Linked DNA regions of Danio rerio. The protein of the gene in region 1 interacts with the protein of each later gene in a biochemical or structural test. Links are inferred from orthologs where the notes say so. Each region holds a gene or a part of one and is shown in the gene's direction. Other genes may lie near its edges. The genes, in order: cul4b, dtl, rbx1, ambra1a and si:ch211-202a12.4.

The links.
Region 2: the proteins of cul4b (region 1) and dtl form a complex in vitro, tested with the Homo sapiens proteins (2 studies listed by BioGRID). The link is inferred for Danio rerio from reciprocal best matches to the Homo sapiens genes CUL4B and DTL.
Region 3: the proteins of cul4b (region 1) and rbx1 form a complex in vitro, tested with the Homo sapiens proteins (4 studies listed by BioGRID, with this or other methods). The link is inferred for Danio rerio from reciprocal best matches to the Homo sapiens genes CUL4B and RBX1.
Region 4: the proteins of cul4b (region 1) and ambra1a form a complex in vitro, tested with the Homo sapiens proteins (2 studies listed by BioGRID, with this or other methods). The link is inferred for Danio rerio from reciprocal best matches to the Homo sapiens genes CUL4B and AMBRA1.
Region 5: the proteins of cul4b (region 1) and si:ch211-202a12.4 form a complex in vitro, tested with the Homo sapiens proteins (2 studies listed by BioGRID). The link is inferred for Danio rerio from reciprocal best matches to the Homo sapiens genes CUL4B and UBC.

The regions. Positions count from the first base shown.
Region 1 is NC_133189.1:38,074,901-38,078,656, forward strand, and holds part of cul4b (cullin-4B), read left to right. Parts: coding exon 1-129; intron 130-1,747; coding exon 1,748-1,852; intron 1,853-1,960; coding exon 1,961-2,071; intron 2,072-2,170; coding exon 2,171-2,256; intron 2,257-2,346; coding exon 2,347-2,454; intron 2,455-3,709; coding exon 3,710-3,756.
Region 2 is NC_133195.1:14,376,545-14,380,771, forward strand, and holds the start of dtl (denticleless protein homolog), read left to right. Parts: upstream 1-1,399; 5' UTR 1,400-1,423; coding exon 1,424-1,478; intron 1,479-1,554; coding exon 1,555-1,680; intron 1,681-1,777; coding exon 1,778-1,870; intron 1,871-4,116; coding exon 4,117-4,178; intron 4,179-4,227. UniProt on the Homo sapiens protein: Substrate-specific adapter of a DCX (DDB1-CUL4-X-box) E3 ubiquitin-protein ligase complex required for cell cycle control, DNA damage response and translesion DNA synthesis.
Region 3 is NC_133178.1:23,848,426-23,852,746, reverse strand, and holds the start of rbx1 (E3 ubiquitin-protein ligase RBX1), read left to right. Parts: upstream 1-1,394; 5' UTR 1,395-1,429; coding exon 1,430-1,507; intron 1,508-3,020; coding exon 3,021-3,099; intron 3,100-3,937; coding exon 3,938-4,008; intron 4,009-4,094; coding exon 4,095-4,180; intron 4,181-4,321. UniProt on the Homo sapiens protein: E3 ubiquitin ligase component of multiple cullin-RING-based E3 ubiquitin-protein ligase (CRLs) complexes which mediate the ubiquitination and subsequent proteasomal degradation of target proteins, including proteins involved in cell cycle progression, signal transduction, transcription and transcription-coupled nucleotide excision repair.
Region 4 is NC_133182.1:39,574,381-39,578,809, reverse strand, and holds the start of ambra1a (activating molecule in BECN1-regulated autophagy protein 1A), read left to right. Parts: upstream 1-1,442; 5' UTR 1,443-1,646; intron 1,647-4,429. Other genes in the region: acp2 (lysosomal acid phosphatase precursor), read right to left, coding at 793-876. UniProt on the Homo sapiens protein: Substrate-recognition component of a DCX (DDB1-CUL4-X-box) E3 ubiquitin-protein ligase complex involved in cell cycle control and autophagy.
Region 5 is NC_133180.1:42,862,365-42,866,399, forward strand, and holds the start of si:ch211-202a12.4 (polyubiquitin-C), read left to right. Parts: upstream 1-1,235; 5' UTR 1,236-1,301; intron 1,302-3,964; coding exon 3,965-4,035.

The DNA.
Region 1 (3,756 bases):
ATTTCAAGGATAAAGTCGACCACATAATTGATGTATGTTTCATGAAGAATGAAAAGTTTGTAAATGGCATGAAGGAAGCCTTCGAGACGTTTATCAACAAACGGCCAAACAAACCTGCAGAGCTCATAGGTGAGTACATGAACTGTTTTTCATTGCAAAAAATCACCCCTCACAAAGCACTGCCTTTTCTTCGTTAATATTGCTATATCCGACAAGCTTTCAGTGTCAGCCATGGAAATTATTGTAAATTTGTGCACTCCAATTCTGGTAAAATTACGTAATGGTTTCAGAGAGGAGCAATGAAAATGCCTGCAATACACATTTGGGGGATATATTTAGGATGTGAAAAGCGTTTCTGCAGTGTATCAAAGTCTTAAATTTCTAAAACTAAATTTTAGCCCTTAAAATGTCTAAAACTCACTGAGATAGTGTTGTAGTATTTCAATTCTTTTATACAGATCCTGGATTAACATCTTTGTTGATCCTGAAACATAATTTTTGTTCGCAATTGTATTCCATACCTTGTAATTCCCTACCCTAAACCCAACCATAACTGTAAATTATTCCCAAAATCATAGCCGAAAATAGTTGTATAACAATCATGTAGAAGTGTATAAACTGTAAGCCTAAACTTAACATTAACGTTAAACATATTCCTCATTCTTGATTGGCTGATTGGAATGTTGTTCCAGGATCAATATAGATGTTAATACAGGAACATATCCTACTTGGTCAAATCAGGTTGGCGCCTATTCAGTCACCATCAATCCATCATAATAAAATTTACTAATAATATAGTTTCATTATCTTCCCTACTGTAACATTGGTTTAAAAGTTCTCCATGTATTTATAGCTACCTGGTGAAGACACTGATCTTTATTATAGTTTTTAAAACTTTTCAGTTTATTTTTTTTTTAAATAAACATTGTTAGAAAAAGTGTATGTATACAAGTTTGCTTGATTTGACACATTATTTAAACTTTTTTTTATTAGGCCATTAGAAAAAAGGGGCCTGTTTAATTCTGACATTTTCTTCATATTGGTCTTAAAGTCTTAAATTTGACTTGATGAGTCATGCAGAAACGCTGTGTGAATTGAAGCTATAGCCTACAGTCAGTATTAATTGGAAGTTTGGATCATTTGACTAACTCGGACCTTTGACTCTCAATCAGCACAATTGATAATTTAGTTAATTTCTGCAAAATACAGTTCAAATGTTTCTCATTGATTCCTCAACACATCATTCACGAACACACAAATGCTGGCATCTCGAAAAAGACAAGGCTTCCCGGTTTTTTTAAGTTGTTTGTTCAGCATGTGACCGCATAATAAACCAAACATTAACCTTAATTTATTGTGAAGTCATCAACACAAGTGCATCCTTTACACACACTTCTCCAGGTTTTGGGCAGGTTTGGGGAATGAATGAAGTTGTTACTTGCCCACACTTTGTGTATGTACCTGCTGTCTGTGTTGCAAATCCCATACGAGCACCTTTTCACCATTTATCGCGTTAATTGCTAATATTAACATTCTACACCTGGTTTGTTGGAGTGTTTTGCTTGTCAAACAAAATAGTAAACAGTCACAGGGGGGACGAAATATCGGCATTATGATTTACCAAATCGTCTGTCAGTCAAACAGCCAGCGAAGGGTGAAATTGAGGATTTTTTCTTGAGGGCTTCAAGATGCTTTAATTATTGGAATTACTGATATTCCTAAATGTTGTGATTTTTATGTTCTGCAGCAAAATATGTGGATTCAAAGCTCCGTGCTGGGAACAAAGAGGCAACTGATGAGGAGCTGGAGAAAATGTTGGACAAGATAATGATCATATTCAGGTTCATTTACGGTAATGCTTTTAAACTTAATGCTCTGTTCCTGAGGCCTTGGAGAGTTTTACATTTTTAAACAGCTAAGCTTCATAGACTTTTTCATTTCTTTTTTTTTTTTTTTAAAGGCAAAGATGTTTTTGAAGCCTTCTACAAGAAAGACTTAGCGAAGAGGTTACTGGTGGGAAAGAGTGCCTCTGTAGATGCAGAGAAATCAATGCTGTCAAAACTGAAGCATGGTAAATTACATTTCTCCTTTTATGTTTGATTCCAAACCCTCGCAAATCTTTCTGTAGACTGTAAACTAAAAATGGCAAATTGTGTTTCTTTTTTTGTAGAATGTGGAGCAGCATTTACTAGTAAACTGGAGGGAATGTTCAAAGACATGGAGCTGTCGAAAGATATTATGGTGCAGTTCAAACAGGTAAGGGAGCTTTTATTTTCTTTCTATTATTCATGTTCTTTGGTGTCTCGTTTTTATCTAGCAAATCTCTGTTTTCATTCTGTATTTCAGCATATGCAGTGCCAAAATATTCCTGGTAACATTGAGCTGACAGTGAACATCCTCACTATGGGCTATTGGCCAACATACGTCCCTATGGAAGTACATCTGCCAGCAGAGGTCAGTTCTGAGAAATATGTAGGGATGTAGCGATTCACCATGAGCCGGTTGAAAATCAATTAAAATATTTTATGATTCAAACCTGTAGAAATGTTGAACGAATTGTGATACATTTTTTCAATAGAGGGGGCGCTGTGCGGCGAGCAAGAGGTGGGGTGGCAGTAAAATGACAGCGGTGAAGTGCTGCAGACGAAAAAACTGTTTGCAAATACTGCAAAGACGTTTACTTGCACCAACAAAACAATGAATATGATGCACATAAACAGTCAGCACAGTGAAAAACTACTGTCACAGATGACTATACGCAAAAAGACTTATAAGTTAGATGATTTGCAGCGCTGTTTCCTCCGACGAGTACATGGTGCATAGCGAAAGTATGAAGATGTTTTCAGACTGAAAGAGAAAGTTGTTCTGTTACAGAAGCAGGTATTAGATTATTATACCCTCTCCTTTTCAAATAAGTTTATACATATTTTAATAATTTGCATATTATTATTGAATATTTAAAAAAAACCCTCAAGATTATCACTTAAGTGTATTACACTGATATTTATACTAATTAATTATACAAATAAAATTAATTATTACTTTCATAATCATCTTCAACTCCTCTCTCCATCCTGCTATACAATTAGTAATTTTATAATCAGTATTTTTTGCCAGTGGCCAGTCCCCTGGAGAAGACCATCTCTGTACATACGGCTCTCTGGTTTAGGAAAGGCATACCGCTCCACACTGGCCATCTCAGTCCCCAATGAAAGAGTTCTTTCATCAGCAGGGGACATTGTAAATGTGCAAAGACCTCAGCTTATTCCAGAAAACAGAGATATGCTGATATATTTTTTTAAAATGTTAAATCCCAGCACAGTCACAGTTTTAGCTTGTTTATATTAAAGAGTCTTCTTTCGTTTGTATTATTATTATTATTATTTTGGGGAATTAGTTTTTTAAATAGCAGTTTAGTTATGACTAAAAATGTATTATTTTGTAAAAAATATGCAGCATTTAAGAAAGAAAAATGAAAGACTCTTCATCTTAAATTTGTTCCAAATAATTGTATTACAAAATCGTGACTAAACCATATAACAACATTACTATCGTGTATCAAAACGTGAGTCAGGTGAATTGTTACATTCCTAGAAATATGAGCTTTTTCATTGTTATTAAATTTGACAGAAGTACCCTTAATTTTTAAGGGTACTGCTAATAATTAAGTGTGTCATAATTGATTATTTTGCTACCCTTTGCTTTCTAGATGGTGAGATTGCAAGAGATCTTCAAAACGTTTTACCTGGGTAAACA
Region 2 (4,227 bases), on another chromosome or scaffold:
TGCAAAAAATGTAACCCGATAGACTGCTCTCGGATTTAACACTTTATTTGTTTTATCAGATGGAGATTTTGTGCATTAAGTTTGAAGTGTGACCCGGTTGTAAAGCAGGTCACGTGACGCACAACGCCAGTTTCGTCGTCGGGTTTCCGTTGCGCTACAAGGAACGCTAGAAGCGAAAGCGACCCAAAGAGGTGACCAAAGAAGGCGGGGCTTATGAGTCGGCATTTACCCTGATTAGTCTAAACCTCTGCTCAGCTTTTAGGCTCTTCATGCTATCATAATTTTTATTTAATCATTTGCAAAATTATATATATATATATATATATATATATATATATATATATATATATATATATATATATATATATATATATATATATATATATATATATATATATATATATATATATATATATATATATATATATATATATATATATATATATATATATATATATATTATTGCTTGCTATCAGAACAAAATCCAAAGGATCCCAGAGATCACTTTAAAATGATCAATAGTATACACAGTCATAAAAATTATCACAAACACATACAAATAACATATCATTAGACTGAAAGGGAAAATATTAATAATTATAATATTAATAATAATAAAATTATGATAATAACAAAATTACTAAATTAAACAAACTAAATTAAACAAATGAATGAAATTACAATGACACTTAAACAAATAACCAAAAGGAAAGCAACTAAACTTAAGCATCTCCTACATCTGTATAATATTTCAGGAATTTTAGGGTTTTTTATTCTTAATAAGATTAAGTTTTTGTGTTTCTGTGGCGTTTACATGTTCTTCCAGTGTTTGCGTGGGTTAAAAAAATATATGCTGTAGGTGAACTGGGTAGGCTAAATTTTGTGTGTGTGTGTGTGTGTGTGTGTGTGTGTGTGTGTGTGTGTGTGTGTGTGTGTGTGTGTGTGTGTGTGTTTGTGTGTGTGTGTGAATGAGTGTGTATGGATGTTTACCACTTATGGGTTGCAGCTGGAAGGGCATCCGCTGCGTAAAACCATATTCCGCAGTGGCAACTCCAAAACAATAAAGGTACTAAGCCAAAAAGGAAATAAATGAAATAATGAATATATATATATATATATATATATATATATATATATATATATATATATATATATATATATATATATATATATATATATATATATATATATATATATATATATTGTTAATGTTAATGTTAACCCGGATTTTTTTGGGGCCACATGGCGCCTCTAGTGTTCGCAGCCATTCCACTCCGCTCGCAGTGGCTTAACACTTCCTGTTTCCTGACGTGTCGACCAATTAGAACACTGTTCGTCCATCTCGCGGGGAATTCGTCTTCAGCGCTTTTTCATTGTTCGCGGGAAACTTACCACTTCTGAACGCGACTTGCATCCTGCAGCGATGACTCTTTTTCACCATGTTGTTGATCGAGGGGCTAAAAAAAGAGGACGAAATGGTGAGTTTGCTGAATATACGTTAACCTAAACCAGCGTTATTACACTATTTACACTGAAATACTTTGTAATAATCAGGTGAGCAGCGGCTGTTTCCTCTGTCGTCTCTGCTGGACGGCTATGAATGCGCTCGGCGGGATGAACACATCTCTTATGGAGCCTCCGCTGCTGCCGTGCCGCCATTCGGATGCACATTTTCCTCCGGTAAACATTTATTTCTGCATTCACAATGAGTTCGAAGTCAGTAGTACAGAATTGTGCAAAGACATTATGTTTGTGCTGGTTTGTTTTCTATGTTTAGCTCATGGACAACAAAACTGTCTTGCTGTAGCCAACGAAGAAGGGTTTGTGACCATCTTCAACACTGGAGAAAAACAAAGCTCTGTTCTGAAAGGTTGGCTTCAAGTTTACCTGGAAATATTTTAAAGGTTTAAACTAGTTCGCTTTTGGAAAACCCTATTTCCTATTGGCGTCAAATATAAAATGGGTTGACCGAAATCTCAACAAAAAGTGCAATAAAGCTTTGTGTTTCCCCTGTTAGGAAAATAAAATAGAAAAACATTTTTTTTTGTCATACTGTCATAATTTTTTAAAATCTTGTTTCGGAAATGTCATTCATTGTAACCACACCAAAAAAGTTAATAACTATTTCTTAGCCACATATTTTAAACAATGTGTCAAAAATGGGAATAAATCTAGAATTTAAGTGTTTTACAAATGTTAATAAATATATAATATGCAAAAATCAAAGTGTTATGCAAACAAAAATGGCAGTATGGAAAATGTGCAGGTATTTTATTGCAAATCAAAATGTGGCTGACCTGCCAAACCGACAGCAAACTGGGCAACACATCACTTGTTTTTTTTGTACCCACATAAATGTAGGTTTCCAAGAGGTTAGAAACATGTTTTCGTTTAGCCTCATAATTTGATGTTGCTATCTTGTTACCAGGTTATGGAAAAAAAGTATGTGCTCAGAACGTCTAATCACTTAAAAGGAACATGTAACATGGTGTTTATGACATCACAGAAGAGGTAACATTAAAAGGCTTAAAAGCAGAAACTTGATTCTTAGGCTGCCTTTGCATGCAATTGACAAATGGTCTCAGCCAAATTAAACCTTAGTGACATGAAAGCCCGATCGGGCAAGTTATGATCCTGTCTACTGTTCTGAATGTCTCTTATACTGACCAGGGCCATCTGGCAGTCCTTATTGTTAAGCCCTGAAATATTTATTTTTGGTAAAGTTGATTTTTCTATTCAGAGTTTATCCTGCTTAACCTAAATTCAAAATAAAAATTATTTGCAATCAATTCTAAATAAGGAAATGATATTAGCAGCCAATGAGCCAATTTTGAGTTCTTAAGTCTGAATTGGGAGATATTGCCTCACAATATTCACAAATAAAGTTAGAATTCTGAGAAAATGTTGCAATTACCTTTTTTAAAAATATTTTTTTATCAGTAGCAGGAACATGCTTCCTCAGATTTCAGATGATCACTTTTTTTTTTAAATTAATGGTTGCATTTTAGCTGACTACAGTTGTACAGCACACATCACTTGCATCACATTATATATTCAAATGAATTTTTTTATTCAATCATATCTTTAAATATATGATTAACATTCTGATTGAAAGTGCTAATTTGTAGACAGTTCCTTACATAAATGATGACGTTACAACCTTCCATAGCTATTGACCTTATTCTAAAATGCGGAAGTGCGCCTGTTTTCACGATTGTCTTAGAACTTTCGATTCAGTCGCCTATGGGAGAAATGACTAGGAATAATAAACGGCAGAAAACGGTCAAACTACTTGCTCTAAAAACAAATGTTTGCATGACTATACAGACCAAGTAGAATAATATAATAAGAAAATATCAAATTGCAACATCAAGCAGCGTAATAAGCAGTTTTTAACGTCAAAAAATGAATGGAAGTGAATGAGACCAGAAGTTTCAAGCCAAAAATATTCAAATGGCAGCGCCCGCTCATCGACGGAGAATAAGTTGAATAAGCGTATTTAAGTTGTACAGTTACATACGTATAATGCATTGTTCATAATAGTACATCATGATAATCCATATTAGCCCTTTTAAATTCTGTCAGATTGTGTGAATATAAAAGAAAGGTTAAGTAGGATAACGTTTTCTATTCTCTGAATAGAATAAGAGCAGAATAAGTATGTTTAATTTTTACACTCACACATATCTATATCTGTTTATGCATGCTGAATGAAGACGGAACATTATTTCACCTATATTTGACAATAATAATAATAATAATAATACATTATATTGCGCTTTTTTCAGCCCCAAAGCGCTAACAGGCATACAAGGCAAACAAAGCAGAACAATAAAAACAGTCAAAAAATAAAATAAAAAGACTGCAATAAAATATGAATGGCTCACTACAATAGGATTATAAAATAACAAAAATAATCTAGGTTAAAAGCAACGGTAAAAAGGTGACTCTTAAGAAGTTTCTTAAAACAATCCAGTGAAACGGCAATATCACAAGGTTATTTTAAATATTATAGTAGAAACTTCTTTTTGCATTGACAGTGATTTATACATGCACAAAATCACTTTTGTTAATTAAATTTTGGTGTTTCATTGATGTAAAACGTGTGTTTTCCAGAATGGCAGGCACATGATAATGCAGTTTTTGATATTGCCTGGGTTCCTGGAACCAATTGCTTAGTAAGTGTTGAATGATTTTTTTGTTTATAGACTTTTTCAGTGTGTAAGA
Region 3 (4,321 bases), on another chromosome or scaffold:
CCAATCACAGTCATTTCTGTTAAGCACTGGTGGAAAGAAAACATTTGCTAACTAGTGCCATTTCCCTTAACTTAGGGGAAAATAAGGTCCGATATGCCTTTTTATTTTCACCATGCATTCAGAAAGGACCTTCGGGTCACTCGGAAAGTGGTGAAATTATAAATTTGTGTTCACTGATAAGATATAAATCCAGGTACACAACAATACGCCATCTTGGATGCCGTTCCTGTGTGACTCCAGGCGTTACTTCCAGGTTTATTTCCACTGCAGACTCTCTTTCGCTTTTAAAATGGAGGCTGTGTGAAGTCTGTAGATCATATTTTTTCTTAAGTAACTATTGTCTTTAAATGCTTTAACTGCTTATGCTGGCTTGCCCACACTAAGAGATAACGATAAATATATACATATTGATGACTATATTGTTAGGATTAAGTAGTCGTACATGTGTGTTTTTTTGTTTAAACAATACAATTATTAGCTAGCTACTATGTGGTAGTAGCTCTGCAGATTTGTTTACAGGTAATTCTTTGGTTGAATCTTTGTTGAATCAAAATTTGTGCAATTTTAATGCATCCACACAACAATAGTGTTTTGGGGCCTCTGAAAATACTTGTGTAACGTTATATGCTTTTGTGTGTGTGTGTGTTTGTGTGTGTGTTAGTATGTATATGTATATGTATATATATATATATATATATATATATATATATATATATATATATATATATATATATATATATATATATATATATATATATTTGTCACGCACTTAACTGTATGATATTACATGTTAAGTCGGTTGAGCATTCCAGTAACGTCACTTTATATGTAAACAAATGTGTAAAATAGTGGAAAAACTACGAATTGTGTATAGTTTACATAAGTCTACATGGTAGCTGTTCGCAAAACTTGTCAAAAAAAAGCAAATATGAATATGTGAAATAAAAAAATATATAGATGGCATTTAATGTTATCTGTAAATCCTGGTAACATGTAATCTCCTGTATCATTTCAAAGCTCTGCACTTGCACTGCACTGATTTGATGTATGTTGAACACGGTCATAATTATATAATATGCAGGATTCCGACAATGTAGTTTATAATAGTGGTAGGGTATTGTAGATGGTACAAATCTGGAAACAGTGGGCCTTAGCTTCCAACAGGTTCCATGGTGTAATGGTTAGCACTCTGGACTCTGAATCCAGCGATCCGAGTTCAAATCTCGGTGGAACCTAATCTTTTAACTCGACTGTAATTTGGACTAGATTGTGTCTGATTAAACTGGAATAAAAAAAAATATATGAATGATATTAAAAACATCATAGTATACACAATTGCTTTAATTCACACGTTTACATGTAAAAGATTATAAACCGAGTAGCTGTTCACTCTCACTCTTTCTCGCGAGATCATCAGACATTAGCAAACATGGCGGCCGCGATGGATGTGGACACCCCAAGTGGAGCTAACAGCGGAGCCAGTAAAAAGCGATTTGAAGTGAAAAAGGTAAGTAATTGTGAAGTTCACGTTAATGATTGCTGTCAACTGTTTGTTCACATCCGTTTAGTCTCTTTAAAATTAAAATAACACTCTTTCACCGCGGTGTGTTAAACCCAGTTAGCATTAGCCGCGCTGCTCTTTCACATCATCATTTTAATCACCGGCCTCTATGCTTTTCATGTTTACAAAAACCTCATAAAGTGTCACAAAAATGAGTACAAGCTAATGTCAAGCAAAAATATGTTACATGCTCGCCCAATGTGCTTCTTATTTGAACTCCGATAAATTCTGCAGCGTAATCCCAGAGATTATTGAAGTAGGCCACTAAAGAACGAAATACAGCGCTGATCATTCCCAGACCTTGGCGAGTTTTTTAGGCAAGATTTGTGGACACTGCAGCCGCTTACAGCACATTCGATTCTAACCGTTTGAGGTTCATAGACGCATTCCGAACGCTCTATTCGATTATCGGTAGACGTCATTTACATGTTCCCAACGTTCGTTTCCATCACTTTTAGTCACCATAGTGACATTCCGAACATTCCATTTAAACACATTTACCCCCCTCAAAGTTCGATGCAAACATTTTAGTGAATTTCACATATTACACACGGAATTGAACATTCTATAAGTGTATACAATGTACAATAAATTATGTTATACTTATTACTTAAGTAAATTTTGACTTGTGTGCATCCTTTTTAAAAGCTAGGTACGGACATGTTTGAATGTTATAGACCAGGGGTGTCAAACTCAATTCCTGGAGGGCCGCAGCCCTGCACAGTTTAGTTCCAACCCTGCTCCAACACACTTACCTGTAGGTTTCAAACAAGCCTGAAGGACTCTATTAGTTTGATCAGGTGTGTTTAATTAGGGTTGGAACTAAACTGTGCAGAGCTGCGGCCCTTTTGGAACTTGACCCTTTTGGAGTTTGACACCTGTGTTATAGACAGATATTATACCTAATGTTACTCCATTTCATTTTCATATTGATTTCAACAATGTCAGCCATTGAAAACACCCTCCAAATGCTTGATTTTTAACAGTTTCTAGTATTGCAAACTTGTTTCAAATATTTGTTTCCAACAGTGTGAGGCGTTGCAAGCTCATTCTCAATGTTCAATTCCAACAGTTTCAGGCATCATAAACCCTTTCTGAATGTATATTTTTTGTGGAATATTGTAGTTGGTTTCCAGATTACCAATTTGTAATCTGGATTCAAAACGATCACCGTGAACGGTTTGAATTTAGATATACTTTTTAAAAAATGTTTTTAAAATAAGTTTTCATACTGTACTCGCATACTGTTTTCACAACTTATTTTCACTATGTTCCTTTACAAATGTTATGGCTGCTGGCTTCTTTTCTTCCTCATTATGATGTATAACTGAGTGGAAGCGCTGCTCATTGGTGGAGGATATTTAGGCTTAGTTTGTGTCTGTACATGTGTCATTAAGAGAAAAGGTGCTGTTAGCATTTTTAATAAAGATTATGATTATAAACTCTGCTTGTCTTGCAGTGGAACGCTGTGGCTCTGTGGGCATGGGACATTGTAGTGGACAACTGTGCCATCTGCAGAAATCACATTATGGACCTCTGTAAGTATAACAGCTGCTTTAGTCTTTTAGGTTTAGTCTAGATCAGGTGTTTTCAGCCCACGACCCCCAAAATAACAATGCCAGTGACTCGCGCCTAGCCGTGGGATGAAAACCGTGTTCAATGTATATCAAGGTTTGGAAAGGTCAAGGTTTTAAAGCCTTCAAAATTTTCTCCTATACCGTTCCTAAGGTATGAGTTCGATCTTTTTTTTACTTTTTATTTTTAGGACAGTAGTATCTCCAGAAAAGATATCCAAAGATGCCATTTTTAAATTGTAAAAATAATCAGATTTTTTTAAAACAAATGAAGACAGCAGAAGTCAATAATTCATTAGAATTATTTAGCCTGACATGTTTACTTCTCCAAAACATTTTATATGTTTCCCAAATTTACATATAGTGTGTACAAAGGGGAAAAGGGTTTTGTTTTGTACCCAGATATTTAAAAAGATTATATTTTAGAGCAGTTATCTCAATACTGTGATACTGTGAAATACTCAATACTGTGAGGTACTCAATACTGTGATACTGTGAAATTTATTTCCGAGGTAATCATACCGTCAGAATCTTATACTGGCCCATGCCTACTCACGACCCCCCAATATTCTCTAAGGTGGTGATGAATATTTAAACCTTGCACACATACCAGTAGGCCCAAATCTATTCATTGTTTAATTTTAGAGATTGCCACTGTGAGAGCTTGCTCCATGTTCTGTTGTAGCCTGTATTATTTTTAATGTATGTGAAAGCTGTAAAGGTGTCAAAGTTTAACCCCCACTGTGGGAACCACTGGTCTAGATGAGCTGTAGCTGATCTGTAACTCTTGTGTTTGCTTCAGGTATTGAGTGTCAGGCCAATCAGGCGTCTGCCACCTCAGAGGAGTGTACGGTGGCCTGGGGAGTCTGCAATGTGAGTATAATCACACACACTTTGAGCTCTGGGTTTGTTTGGTGCTGGTGTAATGCTGGTGTGTTTGTTTTTGTGTGTGTCTGCAGCACGCTTTTCATTTCCACTGCATCTCCCGCTGGCTGAAGACCAGACAAGTGTGTCCACTGGACAACAGAGAGTGGGAGTTTCAGAAGTAAGTCTTTTTGATTCTTCATTCAAATCAAGTCAAATTCACAAGCTTCGTGTAAGGGATAGGTCTCAAACTCAATTCCTGGAGAGCCGCAGCTCTGCACAGTTTTGCTCCAACCCTATTTAAACACAGCTAATCCAACTA
Region 4 (4,429 bases), on another chromosome or scaffold:
GCTTGAAAACACTGACAGATACGTTTTTGAGTATTTTTAGAGTACAGTAAAATACAAGCCTAAGCAAAAAAATAAAAAATAAAAAATCTAGAAAGGGTTTCGCTATTTTCGTGAAACATGGTTGACATTTGCATGGAATTGCTCCATAAATTACCTTGCAGACACTTTTTCTATCTTTATCCATTAACGTTACAAATGGATTCAGTACAAGTTAGCCCTTGGTTTACCAATTCGTTCATATGACAGACATTCTGTAATAGGCTTGCAGTTGCATTACTAATTTCAGAGATCTTTCTCACCTAAAAGCCAAGCAATAATGTTACCCTTACTAAAAAAAATAGGTGACATTTAACCTACAAAGGTGTTTTATTGCTTTGACGAAAATGGGAGGTGAAATGAAGCAAAACAACATGTCATGTGACGGTCTGCTCTTCAGATTGCTCAATCTGTACTTTAATGAGGAATTAATAAAGATCAAGTCGAAAACTACATTTTACCGAAATTACAGAAAATGCGAAAATCTGTAGAAAGCAAAACATTCGAGAGAGAAACACGAATTTAGACATCAACTAACAGGTAATTACAGAAAGGCACACAGCTGAATAACAGAAATATGACACCCCTAAAGAAACACACGAGGCACATAATAAAAGGTCTGACTGAGACTTCGCGTTGTCAATGTTTTTAAAACGAAAGGTTTTGTAAATAGCTTCAGGCCCCGGTTATTCAGTTACTGTCTGTTACATACTTAACGTTTGTTTTTTTAAAGGACAGATGTATTATTAAACTCACCACAGTGACAAACTTTAGCGTCCTCTCTCCACTGGAAAGACTGAAAGCAAAGAGAAAGGCAACAATCACAAAACAGGAATCCATACTTGCGGACGAGCGGATGAGGCACAGTACAGTAACCTCATTGAAAGATCGTTGCCTGGCTGTCGTGGCTGATAAACACAAGACGAGCTGCAAGCTTTTCCGGGTAACGGAGAGCTGCCATTGGTCAATGTGTTCAGCAGCTTCAAAAACACGAGCAGTGATTGGCTCTCACGAACGGAGAAGGACTTGGAGCAAAACAGCAAACAATAGTTGATTGTTTTCTCTTTGTTTAAGGTGCATGACTTCTCCGTCATTTGAAAAAAAAATTCTGAATGAAAATCCCCTCTTTTGTTATTCAATTGGTATATATGTTTGACTTAGTTTATGTGTAATCTAACATTTAGCAAGACTGAATATGTGAATAAAAATTATTTGATCACTTAACTGCCCATGATCAAATATAAATATAGGACAACGGAATGTGAATGTAAATATAACTTGGCTGTTTAGCACAAGATTTCATCTTGACTGGTTCATCTGTGTTTTTTTTTTTGACAGATCAACCTGATTGGCTGGCTCATGAACGATGTTTTCGGTAATTGATTATGAAGGATCTGTGCTCTACTGGCTTTGTCTGGACTCGTTTTGGCAGGACACACACAGCAACAAATCTAAAGTACACACGACCCACTTTTGGGGGAAAATAAAAACATTACAAAAATATTCCTTAAAGAAAATCTGAAATATTGCTAAAGTTTCACCTAACGTACTTCCGCTACTACATATCTACAATTTCATGGATTAAAATCGGACAAAAATAAGAGGAAAAGGTAGGCCGAACCTGAGACCATGAGAGGTGTTGTTTTAAATTTATACTGAACAAAAGACTCCTAATTTAAACACTATGTAATTGTGTGGATTGATACTTTGCCTCGCATGTAAATTAGCTTGCTAACTGCTAAATGTTAAAGCTGTAAAGTTAATTTCTTTATTAAAAAGTAATTATTGTAATTTAACGTTAACGTTATAACCTTCACTAGTTGCTTTATTCTGTGACAATGAATTTACTGTAATGAGTGACACTCCTTTTATTGCAGGTTAAACTTAACTTATATATGTCTAACGTTAGCTGGAGTCAAACATGAGCTATCTTTGACCTGACGTGCTATAGTGTCACAAAACGTGTAAAGCTTTTCCACGTGTTTTAACCCTGTTATTTTGGTAATTGCATTCCTGTAAATAATAACTACGTATTTATAGTAGTCTTTGCATTTTTGATAGTTAAACTATGCATTGTTTACCCATGTAATAGTTTTTGTTTGTTTTATTTTTTAATTTATTAATTTTTATTTACTGCTTAATTCTTTATTAGTAGAACTGAAATGGAAATATGGTTAGCTTTTATTGTAGTTAGACTCGTCATTGTGTATTGTGTATTAGGTATTGAGGTCTCTGTTCAGTTAGATTGTTGTGTGAATATCTTTTAATGTTGTTACTATTTCAATTTTTTAAGTAAAGCATACACTTTAAAAGTATGATTGTGTTCAGTATTATGTTGTTTGAAGAAAAATACACAGTGTTCATTAACTAGAATTAAAAGTAAATTTCAAATGTATTCAATGTTACTTTTGCATAGCTAAAAAATAACAAAAAATAAATTACCATAGTTAACTTGACATACTTTAAGTTGACTTAAAGCCTGTGTGGAAAACCTTATGAAAGAAAAAGTAAACTTTTTGTTTAATTTATGTTTAATTAATGATTTTTTTCTCTGTCAAGGTGTTGGCTATGAAAGATGAAACCTTTATTTTTTTTAAATCTATAAATTAATAAATAAATACACAAATATATAATAAACGAGTAAATGTATATAAAAATCCACAAATTCCTGCATAACTCAATCAGGCAGGTACAAAATTTAATAAATTACACGAATGTTACGGGAATAAGAAAATGGTAAACTGAAAGCTCCACCCCCCGCCCCCTCCCAAATGTTTATTCATTCTTGATTGTAGTTATGTATTTACCTTTCCTCAGTAAACATGCTAATGAGACTGGTTCTGTCAATCATCAGAAAGTGGTCTTCATGCCATTATTGGTTGATCGTTAGAAAACATTTGCTTTTCATTAAAAAAAAAAAAAACTATAATTTTTTTTTACTGGCTTCTGATGATTGACTGCTCTATTAATTATTTATACATTTATTTATGCAGAAAGTTTATATATATACACATTTTTTTTGCTTATTTATTGTTTTATTTATGCATGAATTTATGGATTTATTTACTCATTTATTTGCGTATTTATTTATTGTTTTTGCGTCCTCCATAGTTGACTAATTCATCATAAGACAGGGTTTATACAGTCATGGAAAACCTGGAAAAGTCATGGAATTTTGACATGGCATTTTCCAGGCTTGGAAAAGTTATGAAGATTAGTTTAACAAATATCAGTATACTTAAATTAGGGCTGCGCGATATTGGAACAATCTGACATTACAATATTTTGTATTTCTGTGATATGTTGCGACGAGAATATAATTTCACCAGATGATTTAAAAGTTTTATTTTTGATTGATTGGGGTGGGGGGGGGGGGGGGGGGGGGGGTTGTTAGAGAGTGAATCCCGAATAATATATAACAAATAAATTACAAGCATAGATAAATAAAACATAGTCAAGATAAAAGTGAATTATAGTTTTCAGGTATTCACTATTTCGGTACAGATATTGAATAATTAACACTGCATAGTCTTCGTTCTATATTATTTAATCTTTAATTTAGTTACCAAAAAATTTCTTTTGGCCCGATTTTTAAAAAATTGAAATATTGAAATGTTTAACAGTCACAGGTCTTAAAGGGACAGTTTACTCAAAGATTAAAATGTACTTACTATTTACTCACACTTCAATTGTTTCAATACTATATGAGTTATTAGGTTATATTATTTTTGTCTTTATTTAAAAAAAAGAAAGCTCATAAATGTTTAAAACAAGTGAAGGGTGTAATAAAAATGGTAAGTAATTTTTGAGTGAACGATCTCTTTAAAATGCATACAGATGATAAACTTTTAGTTCATTTTGATTAAACTCTAAATTAAACTATAATCCCATCCCAATATTGCATATCCTGCGATGTGACTATTGTGAATGCACACATTACTTTATCAATGCTAAAACAATATATTGTGCAGCCCTAACTTGAATATAGGATAGTTGTTTTCTTTTCTGTCCTTGGCCAAAATATTGTTCTCACATTGTTAGTGCTGTGCAAGCTTTATCAAAAAAAATCAATAAAAAAACTAATTTAAACAAATTAGTTAGTTGCGTGTTCTATAATATGCTGTTATAAATTTGAACGTTATTGTTTTTCTTATTATTAATCATTTATTTTTAGATATTACATGAAATATTATGTCATGAAAATGTACTTGAAAGTTCTGGAAAAGTCATGAAATTTTAGTAGTAAAAATGCATATGAACCCTAATTAGATGGAAAAGTAGACCAATGCTGATTAATTTTTTCTCACTACTATTTCATGCCCTTTCTATTCATGTGACAACCTGGATACACCATCATTTAGTTCTGTAGTTTTGATTTGATATGCTGTAAAAC
Region 5 (4,035 bases), on another chromosome or scaffold:
AAAAGCCCCCCTAGGAATAAATGAGTTTGAAAAATAAAACCGATGAACATTTTGGGAAATTATCCTTTGAGCAGGGAAGCTGCTTGGTGTCAATTATCATTTAATTATACTTTGGTGGGAAATTATCTTTTGAGCAGGAAAGCTGTGTGGTTTTCCACACTACACTCAATTCGAAAGGACTCATCCCTATGCGCTAATCTCTTTAGAGGAACCCTCTGAAGGGATTAGGGCATAGGAATGAGCCCTTCAGATTGGAATCCATCATGTATTTTTTTTTGTTGGTGGTTGAGAAAGTGCATTTCTGCCACCTATAGGACTGGAGTATGAAACTTGGTTGGGGGCTTAAAAAACTGTAACCACTTTTAAACCTAATTTTCCAGTCCGGAGACATTCAACAATCCAGATGACACCTTAATGATCTCTTTAATGTGGTAATTCTAATGTGTGATTAACACTTTACTCAGATTTCTTTCAGTTATTTTTCAGAATAATTCTATTTATTCTCTCTTGAATTATGTAATTTGTTATTAAGCATTTTTATGACAGTAACTTGTTTAATTTTTTACACAAACTTTTTTGCGCTGTATGACCAATGTATAATCTTGCAATTATCACATTTTTATTGTTTGCTCTGTTTTCCACGCAAATGTATCCTTATAAATGTTTTTTTTTTTGTTCTCCCATTCTTCTGCCTGCTCACTTTACTCAGCTGTACCCTGAAGTTAATATCAGGGTTCATTATTACCATACACAATCAGTTTCTTTTAAGCAACCAAAACATCCACTGGAACCCACGCAACTAACTATAATTCATATTTTATAATGCTGTATAATCTCTGGTCCTGTAATACGATGTATCTTTCCAGACTGTTCTATTTTTGTTTATACAGTATGTCAGTTCTTCTCTTTGCCTGGTCTTGTCTGAATCACCAATAGCAAAGCGAACAAACACTAAACCAGCCAATCACTGCCTGCAGGTTGTCCTACAAGTCCAGCCCATTCCAGCACATTGTGGAAACTTCCTTTATGGGTAATTTATGATTAAATTATACGTTTCAAATATTGATACATAACTTGTATTTATTTTTAAAAAATCAAATAATTCCATAGTTTTAACATTTATTTTAATTTTTCAAACGAAAAAAAGGTTTTGACTACTAAAAGACCCGCTCACGTGACATGAGAACGTCACGCTGTTGGGTTTGTATAAAAACAGTTTCACTCGCTTCATCGGCTGATTTTTCTGCGAAGAAGAGAAGAACTTATTCACTTTCAGAAGCAGTTTCAGCGATATTTATAAGGTAAGAAAGCTATTCCAGTTCGATTTAGAACCTTCATAAAGACCTTTAGGTATACTATTATTGATATTTCGTCATTCCTGTTTATTGTATTGATTTTGGCGCTCATATCCTCGACATCCTAACTAAATGTAAAGAAGTAATTTTACAGTCCTTAATGCTTTGACTAGAGTAATACTCATACGATGTTATTTTCCCAAATTGATACGTTTGCTTTTTAATTGTTAAATTGTTCAATGTCGCAGTTTGTCAGATTAAATTATGCTGAGTCATGGCGCTGTATGAACAAAGAACCCGGATATTACTGTACAGCGGCCATGTTTGTTGTTGCGCATTACCGTTTTTAAATGATGACATTGTGCAATTTTTTAATTATGTAACTTATTGTTTTATGTAATTTAGGAGGTAATGTTAACATAAATAACTATTTCGATATAGTGTATGAATGAAATTACAAGTTCATAACTCAACTTTTATTATATTTCTAAAAAACAAACATTTTTAATATGTAGGACCAGACGGAATCTGCGGGCGTTTTTTGCTATTTTTGCGTAGAATTTTGCTAAAAATCTGCGGATTTCTGCGGAATTATTTTGGGAGTATCATAACTAAAACCTTAATATATGAATTTAAAAATAATATCTTTTAAACTTTCATTTAATGTTTAAAATGCAAATCCAATTAGATTCACTTTATTTGGTAAACAAAGCAAGTCTAATATAATGTATCTACTAAAAGACAAAGAATCACTGTACAAACTGCATCGTATATAAATCAGATGAACATTTTCATACAAGTCAATAATATTACTGTTATTAAAAAGTAAATAAATATAGATTTACCCACATTTACTCTAGTAAATAAATAGAATTAATCATGGACTTAAATTTGCGGAATTTTGAGTGCACAGATATAGATAGATAGATAGATAGATAGATAGATAGATAGATAGATAGATATAACCCCCGTTTCAATTTTAACTATTTTCTGTAAAGCTGATTCTGGGTTAATGTAGAGTAGCTTTTACAAGGCATGCATGTCCACGTAATGATTTCTATTACCTAGGAGACACCCTTAAGTTATTGTCTCAGGTAAGAGGAAATCACCCCTACAGGGTTGTGCTCTATAGAAAAACTTAAGCTTGAAGCATCTGGATTGATATTGGCATAAAATAAAGATTTTAATAATTTGCTAATATGCTAATAATAATTTGTCACAATGTGACAATGTCCTTGTTCAAACTGTTAGGGTAACTAACATTTACTCTATTCTTCCAGTTAAACAGGCACTTTCATGTAATTTGATAAATTAACATGTTGTAAATCCAGCATCCCTCCACTAACATGGTGGCACCCATGATCATTATTAATCTGTGAAATGGAAATGGATGCGTTTGTATCATAATATTCATTTATCAGAATATGATATTTTCTAATATATTTAGGATGTTAACCAATGTTTGCATAAAATGACAAAATAAGTGAGAAAATTATATACATAAATCTTCAGGGCTGCAATGTCACATGATAAACTTGATGCATCGTCATGGAAGTCTCAAAGTGAGAAGTTTTAAATTATCGTCAGATTAATAAAACATTTAGTGGGGGTCAGAGAAAGATTTAGAACTTGTGTTTGTGAAAGGATGAGCTAAAATCATTCTGTATTGTAATAGATGTGCTAACACATTAGCCCTGCCCTGAATTAAGCCTATGCTCTCAGATTGACAGATACTATATGTGGTAGGAGGGTTGCACGGTTTACCGGTACTATGGTAGCATCACGATACTGTGGCTTCAAAATACTGGCAGTGCCACTGTAGTTTGTAAACGGTAGTATCTTCATTACCGGTCTATCTATATTATGTAGTGTTGCTTGTGAAAGTGATTAATGCTCACACATATGTGCATCAATAGACCATTTTATTTGAATAGTCTGTGGAGCCCCTTAAGGTTGCATGTTTTTTAACATTTCAAACGCACACCTGAAGCGGTTCATTCTGTTTCTGGCAATGTGATTTAATAGCTACAGCAACCGCAGCAATCTCTTAAAAACAACTTAATGTCTTAAAAAAATATTTTTAATTACTTTGGATTGTTCCCTGATAAGGCTGAAAAAATAAAAAAATAAATGGAAAAACCCAAAATAGTAATATTTGAACAACTTTTGACCACTTATATTTTTCATCACTTTCATAATTTTTTTTTTAAAAATGCTCTTTTCGTAACAAATTCCATTTTGTTTATTTGTATCTTTATTCTAATGTATTTTTTGTTGATCAGTTATCTACAAAATAAACAAAGTATAAATAAATTTTAGGTGAAATAGTGTGCAAATAATACTTATTTCTTTAATTGAAATTAAATTCATTTAATCATCATTCATTTAATGAAACTCAAGTAGACCTATTATAACATATAAAATATAGTATTTATGACAATTTTCCTTATAATTTGAGTTATGAATTACAGTATGGCATTACTATATGGTATCGTGATACTTCAGCTGGTATAGTATTATAACGTGAATTAATGGTATCGCGACAACTCTAACATGTGGTGTTCCAAAAAGATTTCTTTTTGAAGATTTAAGGTAAAATCTTAGATCAGTCGTATAAATCTGTACAAATTTTAGTCATTGCTAATCTTCTTTTGATAATTTGTTTACAGATGCAGATCTTTGTCAAGACCCTTACTGGTAAGACCATCACCCTTGAGGTCGAGCCAAGTGACACCATTGA